2 linked regions of the Xenopus tropicalis genome follow. Each later gene encodes a partner of the first gene's protein in a complex. Links are inferred from orthologs where the notes say so. Each region holds a gene or a part of one and is shown on either strand. Other genes may lie near its edges.

Region 1 (5,803 bases):
TCCTTCTCCTTTAATACTGTTTTGCCTTTGACCTTTACCTAATCATTACATAACAAGAGGGAAAAGTAAGACCAAAGCCAATATGTGCTAAATTTTGACTGCAGTAGTCCTTACGTATTTGCTGTGTGTTTTTGAAAATTGGAAATTGACTAGCTGTTATACAGTTATTTGTGTTTCTCAGCCAGCTGTTAAAGAACAGAGCATTACAGAGAGTATTAAACTTACTCCCAGTAAAGCTCGTATATGAAAAAATTCTTGTGGAATGGGTTTATTCAAATGCTTATGTTACAGTGTGTTACTAATTTGTGTCTTTGGAAATTGTTACAATTTGCTGAAATTAGAATTAAAGAGTAGAGGCTGTGACACCAGGAATCTCTTCTTAACACATGGGGTGGAGTTTAGGCTGTACTAAGCTATCCCATGTGAAGTCTGTTACTGACTACTGAATCCTGGTGTCACTCTCTCCAGGTGACCAAAAAGGCCGGCTGAGAAACACATTCACAGGCTGCTAGGGCGTGTTCTGCAGGTCAGTGTCTTCTGAGCTTATTCTAGTTTTATAAAGTAATGCAATCTTGAATAACATGATGCTAAGATCTTATCTTTTGGAGGGCTGGAATTAAGGGAGAAGGGATTTTTGTTGTAGCGGAAATATTGTGCCTCAACTTGAGAGGAATAATTTACAGTTCCAACCTGTCACCATTTTGCTGTTTTTGAGCAAACCCCAGCACTCCTGATAATCTTTGAAAATCAATAGGATGTTTTGAAGTACTGTAACGACAGCATACTGGTTTACCCCCTTTATATACTACCAGTTTAATACACAATTTGGTCAGTGGTCTCTTCAAAAATTAGGGGTCCGGGTCCTCATTATTCTATCCTAAAACCAGCCCTTAAACTATCATAACCTGACATATTTGCCTTTACTGGGTAATATATGAATTTAATAAACCATTCCTCCAGCTTTAATATTTGGACCTTGTACTCTGGATTACAATAAGATAACTATCTAGAACAGGATTGTCACAGTTGGAAATCTTTGTTTGGACATGCTGACAAATGTAATTTACCATCTGTAAACATAATTCAGTATCATGCATGTTCACCGCCAGCAGTGGAAACACAGATAGAGGCCAGAAGCAACCAGTTCTTTTGTGTGCAGTATATGAATGGCATCAGCCTGTCATTGTGTACATGAACATTTTCTGCAAAAATCAGCTCCCATTTGCACAGTGACAGGCTGATGCTATTCATATCACTAGCCACACAGTGGAAATAGTGTATTGGCATTTTCTTTGCCAGCAAGAAACAGCATTGTGTGCCAGAGATGGAATATATGATGTTTTAGGCTGGAACTCTTCTTTATCTGTGCTTTTTCGGTGACTCCCTAACAAGGTGAATAAATGTGTTACGTTTAGGTCTGTACATGCTTTCCTAACACTCTAATAAATGTTTTGGCAGGAGCTTTATTGCAGAAATGACCCTGTATGTTAAGCAGCTTGGAAGAAGTAAGTTCCCCAACTAAATATGCCATATGTATAGAAGGCATCTACCTTTGTACTCTCTAAACCTTTTGTTTAATATTCAGGAATCACGGCAAGAGAACATGGATCTAATAAGAAATTGGCGGCACAATCTTGTGCCCTTTCAATTGTCCGTCAGCTGTATCATCTAAGTGTAATTGAACCATACTCAGGACTGACAAAGAAAAAGGAAGGGGAGGCTGTAAGTTCCTTGTAGATAACCATCTGCATTGTAAATATTGTTTTTTGTTATCTTTGGATTATAATTGTCTCAAATGCAAAGTTTGTGGGTAATCTTAATTGTGATTCATATAATTAACTTAATTTCATTAGGAATACCCCAAAAACATTCTGAAACAAACAGATGCTGCTGCTTCTAAAAATGCTGTTATTACTAAGATGATACTAATGTTTCTGTCTGGCAGGTGGAACCTTATCAAGTGAACTTAAATCCTGATGTGGTGAAACAGCTGCAGAGTACTATTCAGGAGCTAGGAATTGAGTTACCATATCCAGTAAGTGTTTTGTAGTGTGCGTTTTTTTTCCCCTTTCCCTTTTTTGCTTGTTTTAATATAATTGCTGTGTTTTTCCATAATAGCCCCAGGATCCTAGCCAACCTGTGTCCCTTAATTTGGGAAAACTGGTACACTTTGAGCCTTCACAGAAGCAGAGTCACTCTGGTGTGGTGCCATGGTCTCCCCCACAGGAAAACTGGAACCCATGGACAAGCAGCAACATTGATGAAGGACCTCTGGCATTTGTAAGTTTTGTAGTTTCAGAAAAATAAAATGGTTGAATTTGCCTTCTTTTGGGTTAAATTTTTAAAGTTACATTGGCATCTACTTTCTTTAAAGGCTCCCCAGGAGCAGATCAGTGCAGAATTAAAGAATGAACACATGTATCACATGCAAGATCCTAACATGAAACAGGTTGGTTGATTCAGTTTCTAGACTATGCAAAAGTTTTTATAATTGTGGCTTTTGCTAAGCCTAGCACCACTATTTTTTCTGAATGTTTACAGTGCTCAAGACTGAACTGTAAAAACATTTGTAATCTATAATGTATTCAATGGTGTTTTAATATGTATTCTTTCAGTGAGTTCTTGCCTTTCACTTTTTAGGTCTTGATTGATCGAGAGTCTCTTCCTGTTAAGAAATTTGAGGAGGAAATAATGCATGCTGTGCATAACAGCCCTGTTGTAATCATCCGTGGAGCAACAGGCTGTGGTAAAACTACACAGGTCCCACAATACATTCTGGATGAATGTATTCGCAATGATCGTGCAGCGCAGTGTAATATTGTGGTTACACAGGTATAGTTCTGGAAATCAATTCTATGTTACTTAAACATAAAATAACATAAATGATGCAGTGGGTAGTGAGGTCTTTTTTCCTTTTCTATAGCCTAGAAGGATCAGTGCAGTATCTGTTGCAGAACGTGTTGCTTTTGAAAGAGGGGAAGAGATTGGAAAAAGCTGTGGCTACAGTGTGCGTTTTGAATCTGTTCTTCCCCGTCCGCATGCCAGTATGCTTTTCTGCACTGTGGGTACGTATTGCTTAATAATGATGGTTTTCCTTGTACAGTTAATTTATTTTTCTCTTGACAATATTATTAATATTTTCAGGAGTCCTTTTGAGGAAACTGGAGGCTGGGATAAGAGGAATTAGCCATGTGATTGTGGATGAAATTCATGAGCGTGACATTAATGTAAGTTACTCATTAAAAATAATTGAAAGGTTGCTTGGCTATGTTGATCTAACTATAACATTTTAGTTAAAGACTAAATTTTCCCCTTCCCACTTAGGACCCTCAGGCTGAGTAGCCATCTCATGCCTATGTTAATTATTTATCTCTACCACTGTTCAACAATATCCTAAGAAATATTAGTATAGTGTATTAGAAAAAAAAATATCCAAGAAATATGCTACTTTGTTTGCTGCAGGTTTTTTAAGAAATGTTCTGTCTACATTTATTGTAAAAGATTTTCAGTTTTAAGGCCAGCTGTCCCTTTAATATCTATTGGCAGAAGTTAACTCTTATAGTAGAGTATTTATAGAGGCCTTACTCCGTACTGATGCTACTGCATAAGGAATATAGTGTAAAGAATTCACATCAATATTTATATACTTTTGTATATGTTTTATTACTACAAGTCTAAAGGACATGTGAACCCCAAAAATAATTTTTTGCCTAATAAGAGAAAACATAATTCTAAGAAACTTTCCAATATCAATTAATTAAAAAATATTAGTGCTTTAAAAGTTATTTGTAAATATAATTGCTATAGAAAGCAGCATTTGCTGAACTCCTGGTTGTTACTTTTGAAACATTATTACAAGTGCCAGGCTCCTCCAGCAAGGCAGGTCTGTAAAATCTGCTTGCGTTTGTTACATTGTTTCAGTCGCCAGAGCACCCAAGGCACAGAATGGAATTAATAGCAGTTATGTTTCCCCTGACACTTTAGTAACAGTTATCTATACAAATAACTAAAAAAAAAACCATTACAGATATGTAATAAATATATATTGCAAAGTTGCTTAGAATTAAGTTTTCTTTTATTAGGCAATTTTTTTTTTTTCGGGTTGACAAGTCCTTAAAGCTTTATGTTACATTAAACCTTCCCCAAAAGCACCTTTATAAAAAAAAAACTGATTATTTGGCTGTCAGGTTAATGGCACACTGTGCACTTTCTCTGCCCGTGACGCAAACACTGATGCTGCCCCACCCCACCTCTGCGCAGCAACAGGCATGGTTTCACCTTGTATCATTACTTTTAGCGCAGTCTATGTCTAGCATGGATAGACTTTTTTTAATGTACACCTCAAGCATTTGAAATGGTACTTGAATTACTTGGTCACAGATAGACAAAACATGGTATTAGCCTGCAAAAAACTAAAAACCTGCTGTGAACTTCACAATAAAGGTGTTTACAGGCTAATATAGCTTTATGTCAAAAGTTCTTTATCTTTTTTTTTTTTTTAGATCAGCTCCAATGATAGGTAGATTTGTTGCAGGGTATCTAGTTGTTATGCACCCATCCCAGTGGTTCTAGTCACTTACCTTCTGGTGGTCTACTTTGCCATAAAATGCGCTTGCCTGGGATATTAGGGAGGGAGCACAATCTCTTTTGGCTACATTCAGCTGAATGCATGTGTGGTAGAGTAAAATCAAAATGTATAAGTTAACCTTTACTATGCATGCACACATGCCTGGTATCAGAGAAGGAATTGCAAGGAAGGCAGCCATGGCAGTGACAATGGGAAGGTAGCAAGATTGCAGCTCCCTGACACCTGTATTGCTAAAAGTGGTAGATATCAGAATACCACTTAATAGTAAAAATTCCAAGTCCAGCTTAGGACTCCTCCAGTTACATGGATGTAGGAAAAACAATAGGTTACCTGAAAGCAGTTCTAATGTGTAGCACTAGCTCCTTCTAAAAGCTGCCTACACGCCGATATTACAATTAAAAAAATACATTTGTTTGTTCAAGAATACAAATTTAAATGGTAGAGTGAATTGCTATGTAAACAGTGTAATATAGAAATAAAAAGTACACCTTAAAAATCATGACTGAATCCCTTTAAGTTTTGCATGTGGGCTTTCATAACCTACTTTGTAGGCTATATAATTATAATTTGTTTGGCAGCAAAAGTACATATTAAATGCACAGTTTGTGTTTTATCTTTTAGACTGATTTTCTTCTGGTGGTACTTCGTGATGTGATTCAGGCTTTCCCAGATATCCGTGTTATACTCATGTCTGCTACTATTGACACTAGCATGTTCTGTGAATATTTCTTTAACTGCCCAATCATTGAGGTTTTTGGCCGAACATTTCCTGTACAAGGTAATCTAGATTACATTCTTTATTTCTTTATCTTCCACATGTTGTCCACAAAAAACAAAATATGGTTTCATGTTTACAAGATATGGTATCATGTTTTAAACACTGCTTATATGTGTGGGTTTTTTGTCTATTACCCCCACCCTGCAACAAATGCTGAGGTTTTGTTTTTTTTTGCCTCCACCATACTGGGTAAGTAATCATTGAAATGATTACTTAGCAAGTTCAGTTGCTTTAGATTTACTTAGATGTACCATGACCTGGATGTATGAAAATCTTCATATTCTTCATACTGGGGTTTTGCACTACTCCCAAGTTCAGCACAGTATCTGCAGGAGTAAGTAAGTTTGTTAAAATCTGATATAAGCAGGTACAGGAGGACTAGGGATTAGAAATATTTTATATATGTATGTATATTTCTTCTTTTGTTAAGAATAGTA
Region 2 (6,354 bases), on another chromosome or scaffold:
GTTATAATAAAACAAGTTCAAAAGCTAATCAAAATGTCTTGTCTAATTGTGAATGCTCCTAGTGGCAAACTGGTTTAGTCCTGTCTACTTCAAAAGTACAAACACACGGATTAAATTCACTGTGGCATGAAAACCACCTGGAAACCCAAAAAGAAAGATAGAAACACAGGACAGTCCTATTAAAGCAGCAACAAAACTGCAAGAACAAACTTCTATAAAATGCTACAACAATATGGGAAAAATATTTCTGCGTAGTATTCCAGTTGCAGAAAAAAAAAAAAAAAGGAAAATAACATCATTTAATGCTACCTGCTGCATCACCATTTAAAGTGAACTTTCCAAGGTAAAAATTTTATTACACTATTTCTAACCTTAGCTAGTAATTAAGTATACACAGATAAATACCTCTGCACCTTCTCCCTGAATAGGAGCATTTGAGTATTGTGGTCTGCGCCCATATGGTCTCCGCAAGTAGTATGGTGGAACACGTCTCCTGCGGTATGGACGTTGCTGATTTGAACCCCCCTCTCCTTCAGGTGCACTCTCATTCCCTTCTGTCTTCTCTCCACTTTCATTATTTTGGTAATTTTGCTGGTAGTTACGTGGAGGACCTCTGCGACGCTGATAGCGCCTGAAATGATTACGGTCTGCTGCATATTTGCTGCCTTGGACTGGAACACCCCCTGGACCAGTTACATTAGCTGCCTCTGCACCCTATACAAAAATAAACGCATTAATAATATGGTTTCAGAGGACATGTACAAAGTTACATAACCCCCCCCCCCCTGCCTCCTTTTATAATTTAATGGGTGGCCTATTTTCTGGGTTTATTTGTTTTTTTAAGCCATGAAAAACCTAAGTTATACAGTAGGCAGTTTCCAAACTCTAGATGGGGCTGTATGCAACTAACGTAACAGACTAAAAACAGACATAGGGATGTAGAAATGGTAACCAAAATGACCAAGTTTCAATGATTTAATATGATCAAGTGGCAGTATAAAATATTATGCTATTTCTGGTATAGGTTATATAGTTCAGAAATGTTGAAGACTAAAAATATACACTTGTAGCTTGTGTAAAACGTATCCTCGTACCCTTTTGATAGTCTTACCTTTTCACCCTCCACTACATCAAACTCAACAGTTTCACCATCTCCCACACTGCGAAGGTACTTCCTAGGGTTATTCTTCTTGATGGCAGTCTAAAAAAAATATATTTTTTTTTTTAAATAAAAAGACATTAAAAGAAATCTGAACAAATGCTGAAAACTGATTAAATCTGCTTTTGCTCTATCTAGTTCCATGGCAATATAAAAAGGTGTAGGAAAATGTCCTATCCAACTGTGGAACAGTCATGACTTTCTATTCAGTATGCATTCTTTTATTACACCAAGGCAATCCGCTTTGATCAACACTATACTCAAATACAAGTTACCATATTAGAAGTTATAGAATACATTTTCTATACTAGATTGGACTAGACATCTGTAAAAAAAACCCAGATAAGTGGAATACTTACTTGGTGTACAAACACATCTTCCTTGGTGTCATTCCTATAAGGATAAAAACAAAATGTTAACGACAAAAGGTAGAAATTTTCACAGCACAACAAAGCTAAACAAAACAAAAATAGATTAAAGGCTTGTACTGTGCAAATTAATTTATATGTATAGGTCAAACACTAAAGGCAACATAAGCACAAAAATAGGAATAATGCTGGAAAGGCATTTTTTCTACCAACCACAAAGCATTGCCTTTAGACAAAGAATGGGCAAATGAAAATATATTTCAACCAGCATCCTTTTTTTCTCCATAAAGCCCACATCATATAGCTCATTTCTGACATTTTAGGAAAGAAGCCATCTTATATAATTGTTTTTAACAAACCGATTTATTTGGTTTATGTGAAAAAAGTACATTTCCTTTCAAAAAGCAGAAAAATCTTAAGATACAGTCGAAAGGATAAGGGAAAGCTGAATTAAAGCATGCCAGCCCTGGCTACTGGGTGCAATTACTGTTTTTGTTGTGTATCTGAATTTCTACAACAGCGACAGGCAAAGATCATTTTCTTGGCACAGGCATTCATAGAAGTACAGCGCTGAAACCGGTAGGCAGTGCTACTTAGGAAGCAAGCAATACAGCAGCTCCCCATCTCTATAAAAACATTTTTAAACTATGCCTTCCCCAAGTGTTAAGTAATTTAAGTAACTTCTGGTATTGCTTAACCGCATATCCTGGAATATATACTTGCTAAACCATATTAAAACAAGCATTTATGGGAAGTACCACGTGCATGGCCCCGAAGGGTCAGGCAGGCTGTAACAAGTTTACCAAATTACTAATCTAAGTTGGGGCAGAAATATGAACTCACCTGTTAATGAAGCCGTAACCATTGCGCACATTAAACCATTTGACCGTACCCAAAACCTTGGTTGCTGAAAGAAAATAAAAAATCGTTAGTTTGGAGTGAGGCACAAGATCAATCTAATATGCACAATAGAGCAATCACTTTCTGGCAGCACAGTAGCACCATAAACACAGGGGGTGGGTGGTGGTTTGGAAAGCTAACTTTTACAAAAAAAAATAATTAGAAATTATAAATACTAGTTACATGCAACTTATTGATCAGCAGCCAGTGAGATACAAGCCAAAGCAATACATAAACACTGCTAGTTTAATGGCTATCTGGACATACAACTTCAATGGCTACTGGGCCAGGCACAGCTATACAGTAATTACATTGAGTAGGATGGATGGGGGTGGATGGGGGAAGAGGAACAAAAACAAAGCCCTATCCCATGGCCCTGGTAGCAACATTTCCTGAGGGAAAGTAATGCAACTGGTTGTGTGCATTCCCACTCACTGCTATATAAACACACGGAATTACAATTAAAGGCATCAGCAAACAAACATTGCTATTTGGGGCCATAAGAGTGTTGTCAATTCTTTTTTTCAAATGAAAAACTACAACTCCCAGAATCCCCGTTTATTGCCAAGCGCTATAAAGGCTGCTACTAAGCAAGCCGAGTGCAAAGATAGACTAAAATGGCTCTCATGCCCCTCCCGCTCAGGCCCAGGCGGTACGAGCAGCTCCGTGCCACAACTACTCACACACCACGTGGCTGGAGCCGGGCCAGAGCCGCAACCCGAGCAGCCGGGACACACGGAGCCGCCAATTCCCAGCGCCATCACGGCCCTCACACTCCCCCGTATGTTTGCAAAGCAAACGTGAGGCCAGAGGCGCTACTGGGGACCCAGCAAAGGCGCGGCGGCATACAAAAGAGGAGGTGGGGGGGGTGTAGGCCGCAGGCGGCGGCGGACATGTTACAGGCCCTATTCCTCTCAGGACACAGGAAGGGATGATGTCACGGCGCTGCGGGGGGGGGGGTGATGTCACGGCGCCGGGGGGGGCAGAGATCCGTCACCAACAACTCCGCGTGGCACGACACTCCACGTCGGTGTAACCGCCACTCACCCGCGCCCTATAGTAAAAGCGAAAACCGCTCCCTCACACTATAAATAAACAGATAACCGCGCCTGTTTGTGCAAATATCTAGTAATCGCCTTAACCAACGTGACTGCACAGGGGATGCTGGGAGTAGTAGTCATATTGAGCCTGACGCGCCAAATACCCAGCCCTGCCTGTGTCCGAGAGGCATCTCTCGTATGCTAATTCAATCGTACTTACCGATGACCTTCTTCTCCCCCACGGTGGCCGCCGGTTCCTGGCCGGCCTTGCCCTCCAATGCGACTGTCTGCTGCTGTTGTGTTTCAACCTCGCTGCTCATTGTGTCTTTGATGGTGTAAGTTGGCTGCTTTCGGAGGTGGTGACTCGGGCCGGCGGTTGGCTCGCTTTAACTTCCCCCCGGGGTGTTGATGGTAACTCAGGCCGGCGGTGGGGCTGCTGCCTTTCGAGCTCCCTGCTGTCCGCTCTCCGCTCCCGCTACCGATCGAACTGCCTGGCAATGGCCTTACAGACGGGTTAATCATCGCAGACATCCCGCCCTGGCTATTATCCTATTGGTCAATTGGCTTGTCAGTCTACGGGTTTAGTAAAAAACTCTGCAGTTGTATGGTCGAATGGCTTGTCAATCAAGAATCGACGCGCTCTGTTTGGATGTGTTCCTTCTGTAATCTTATTGGCTAAGGCAGATGTCAATAACAGGATTGGAGGGATTAGTCTCTGCCTCTAGCGTCTGCATTATTGGATGGGATGTAGCTGTTGAGCTCTAAGGCTGATATAAACAGTGATCAATAAAGTGTAAGGTGTGGGGGGTAGGATAAATGCAATAAACTATTGGGCAGGTACCTCAATATTTGACTTGTGTTTAGTTCAGCTGTTTCCCGGCACATCAGCCCTTATGAGCTGAAGGTAATGATACCAGATCACTCATATAAGGGGTTGTGCTTAGGCAACGGACTCTGTCTATTGTTATGGCGCTGAGTCCAAATCCAAGGTTTTATGGAAGTATGGCGTATTGCTTATTTCCTAATCCTCGGATTGTCTAACGGGCAGGCCCCCCCGACCTCATGTCTTGATTTCTGTTTGTTTCTTCGCAATGGTGTAATTTCTGCCTTATTGCTTATATTTTCCCAAATACATTACACAGCAGAGTATATTAGTGTTTTATAAATGGGCTTTAATAATAGCGGGAATAGTCACATCAGCAGTACACTTGCACAGCCTAACTTGCAGTATGCTCCATAGCTGCAATAACAGCATGCACATCGCAAATACTAATATAAATGTGATAGTTTAAGACACATTAAAATCTATCTCATATAATTTTAATAAAACTCCACAAAAGCAAATGAGAATTAAATAATATGAATTAGTCTTTCTGACTGGTTAGGTCAGATCAATAATGATGTATGAGCTGACAATTCATGGTTCAACACTGACTGATTACTGGTCTATTAAAGGAACAGTAACACCAAAAAATGAAAGTGTTTTAAAGTAATTGAAATATAATGTACTGTGGCCCTGCGCTGGTAAAACTGGGGTGTTTGCTTCAGAAACACTACTATAGTTTATATAAATAAGCTTCTGTGTAGCCATGGGGGCAGCCATTCAAGCTGGAGAAAAGGCACAGGCACATAGCCGATAACAGATAAGACACCATTGTATTCTACAGGATTTATCTGTTAGCTGCTATATAACCTGTGCCTTTTCTTCTTTTGAATGGCTGCCCCCATGGCTACACACCAGGGTTTATATAAACTCTAGTAATGTTTCTGAAGCAAACACACAACTTTTACCAGTGCAGGGCAGCAGTACATTATAGTTTAATTTCTTTGAAATATATACATTTTTTGGTGTTACTGTTCCTTTAATGGGCCGAGACAACCTCCGCAGCAAGGCACCAACTGCATCAGGCCATGGTCACAGTCCTCTCCTGCCAGGTCTTTATGTGTTATATGGACAAAACAAAATATTACTGTTATGTATTAAAATGCTGTCTTTTTTCTGCATTATGTTGACTATGTTTATTATAGGTTGTGTGTTGTTTGTGTTGAAGAGACATTTTGGGGGCCCCTTTATGGTCTGCCATGCTCCAGTGGGCCATGGGTTGGGCTTCTGCAGCAGACACAAGATGGCCTCCTATGATGTCAGAGGGTGGGCCAGATCAGGGTGTAAAGCAACACATGGGGGTACTCTGGGTGCACCTGTACAGCTAGTAAACTGAGAGAGAGGGAGGGAGAGACTGGGGACGGAGGGAGGGGAAGGCACCCTTAATGCCATGGTAAAATTATTATTATATTCCACAGCATGGTATAATAGATGGGTGTATACATTGATCACAAACAGATATACAACAGATACCTGATACAAGAGGTAAATAGAGAACTGCTCAATAGAGCTTACAAGTAACACGAGGTAATGGAAAAAGAGAGAAGGTAAAACAACAGGATCTGCTTAAAGAAGTTTCAAGACCAACAGTGGAAATGTGCAGTAAAAGAAAGAGGAAAATAAGCAGTGGACTGAAGTCAAACAGAAGGAAAGAGAGTAGAGAAAAGGGTAGAAAAGCACTAAACCAAGGGAGGGAAAGTATGTGGAAGAAAGAAGAAGAAATTTGGTAAATGAAAAAGTCAGCCACAATGCCTGACTGAGGAACTATACTAAATAAAGGGAACTAGGGGAGAACCGAGTAAATATTCTTCAAAAGCCATGCACCCCCTAAAAACCTGTTTTTAAACTATGGGGGAGAAGAACTTTCCTACATACATTCATTATACAATGCAAATAGTTTTAAAGCTATTAGTAAATGCTTTTGCAATTGAAAACATTGTTTATCCCTTTCTGTTCTGACTTTTGAAACAATGTTGCTGAAGTCACTTCTGTGAATAAGATAGC

Evidence for each region.
Region 2: dhx9 (region 1) and ybx1 share a complex: the UniProt entries of both Homo sapiens proteins name them as parts of the coding region determinant (CRD)-mediated complex. The link is inferred for Xenopus tropicalis from reciprocal best matches to the Homo sapiens genes DHX9 and YBX1.

Annotation. Positions count from the first base shown.
Region 1 is NC_030680.2:100,156,635-100,162,437, reverse strand, and holds part of dhx9 (ATP-dependent RNA helicase A), read left to right. Parts: intron 1-468; exon of another isoform or gene 469-526; intron 527-1,458; coding exon 1,459-1,505; intron 1,506-1,585; coding exon 1,586-1,722; intron 1,723-1,945; coding exon 1,946-2,035; intron 2,036-2,118; coding exon 2,119-2,280; intron 2,281-2,374; coding exon 2,375-2,449; intron 2,450-2,640; coding exon 2,641-2,832; intron 2,833-2,923; coding exon 2,924-3,065; intron 3,066-3,144; coding exon 3,145-3,227; intron 3,228-5,209; coding exon 5,210-5,366; intron 5,367-5,803. UniProt on the Homo sapiens protein: Multifunctional ATP-dependent nucleic acid helicase that unwinds DNA and RNA in a 3' to 5' direction and that plays important roles in many processes, such as DNA replication, transcriptional activation, post-transcriptional RNA regulation, mRNA translation and RNA-mediated gene silencing.
Region 2 is NC_030683.2:94,732,862-94,739,215, forward strand, and holds the start of ybx1 (nuclease-sensitive element-binding protein 1), read right to left. Parts: upstream 3,943-6,354; 5' UTR 3,788-3,942; coding exon 3,688-3,787; intron 2,435-3,687; coding exon 2,371-2,434; intron 1,553-2,370; coding exon 1,519-1,552; intron 1,202-1,518; coding exon 1,112-1,201; intron 715-1,111; coding exon 406-714; intron 1-405. UniProt on the Homo sapiens protein: DNA- and RNA-binding protein involved in various processes, such as translational repression, RNA stabilization, mRNA splicing, DNA repair and transcription regulation.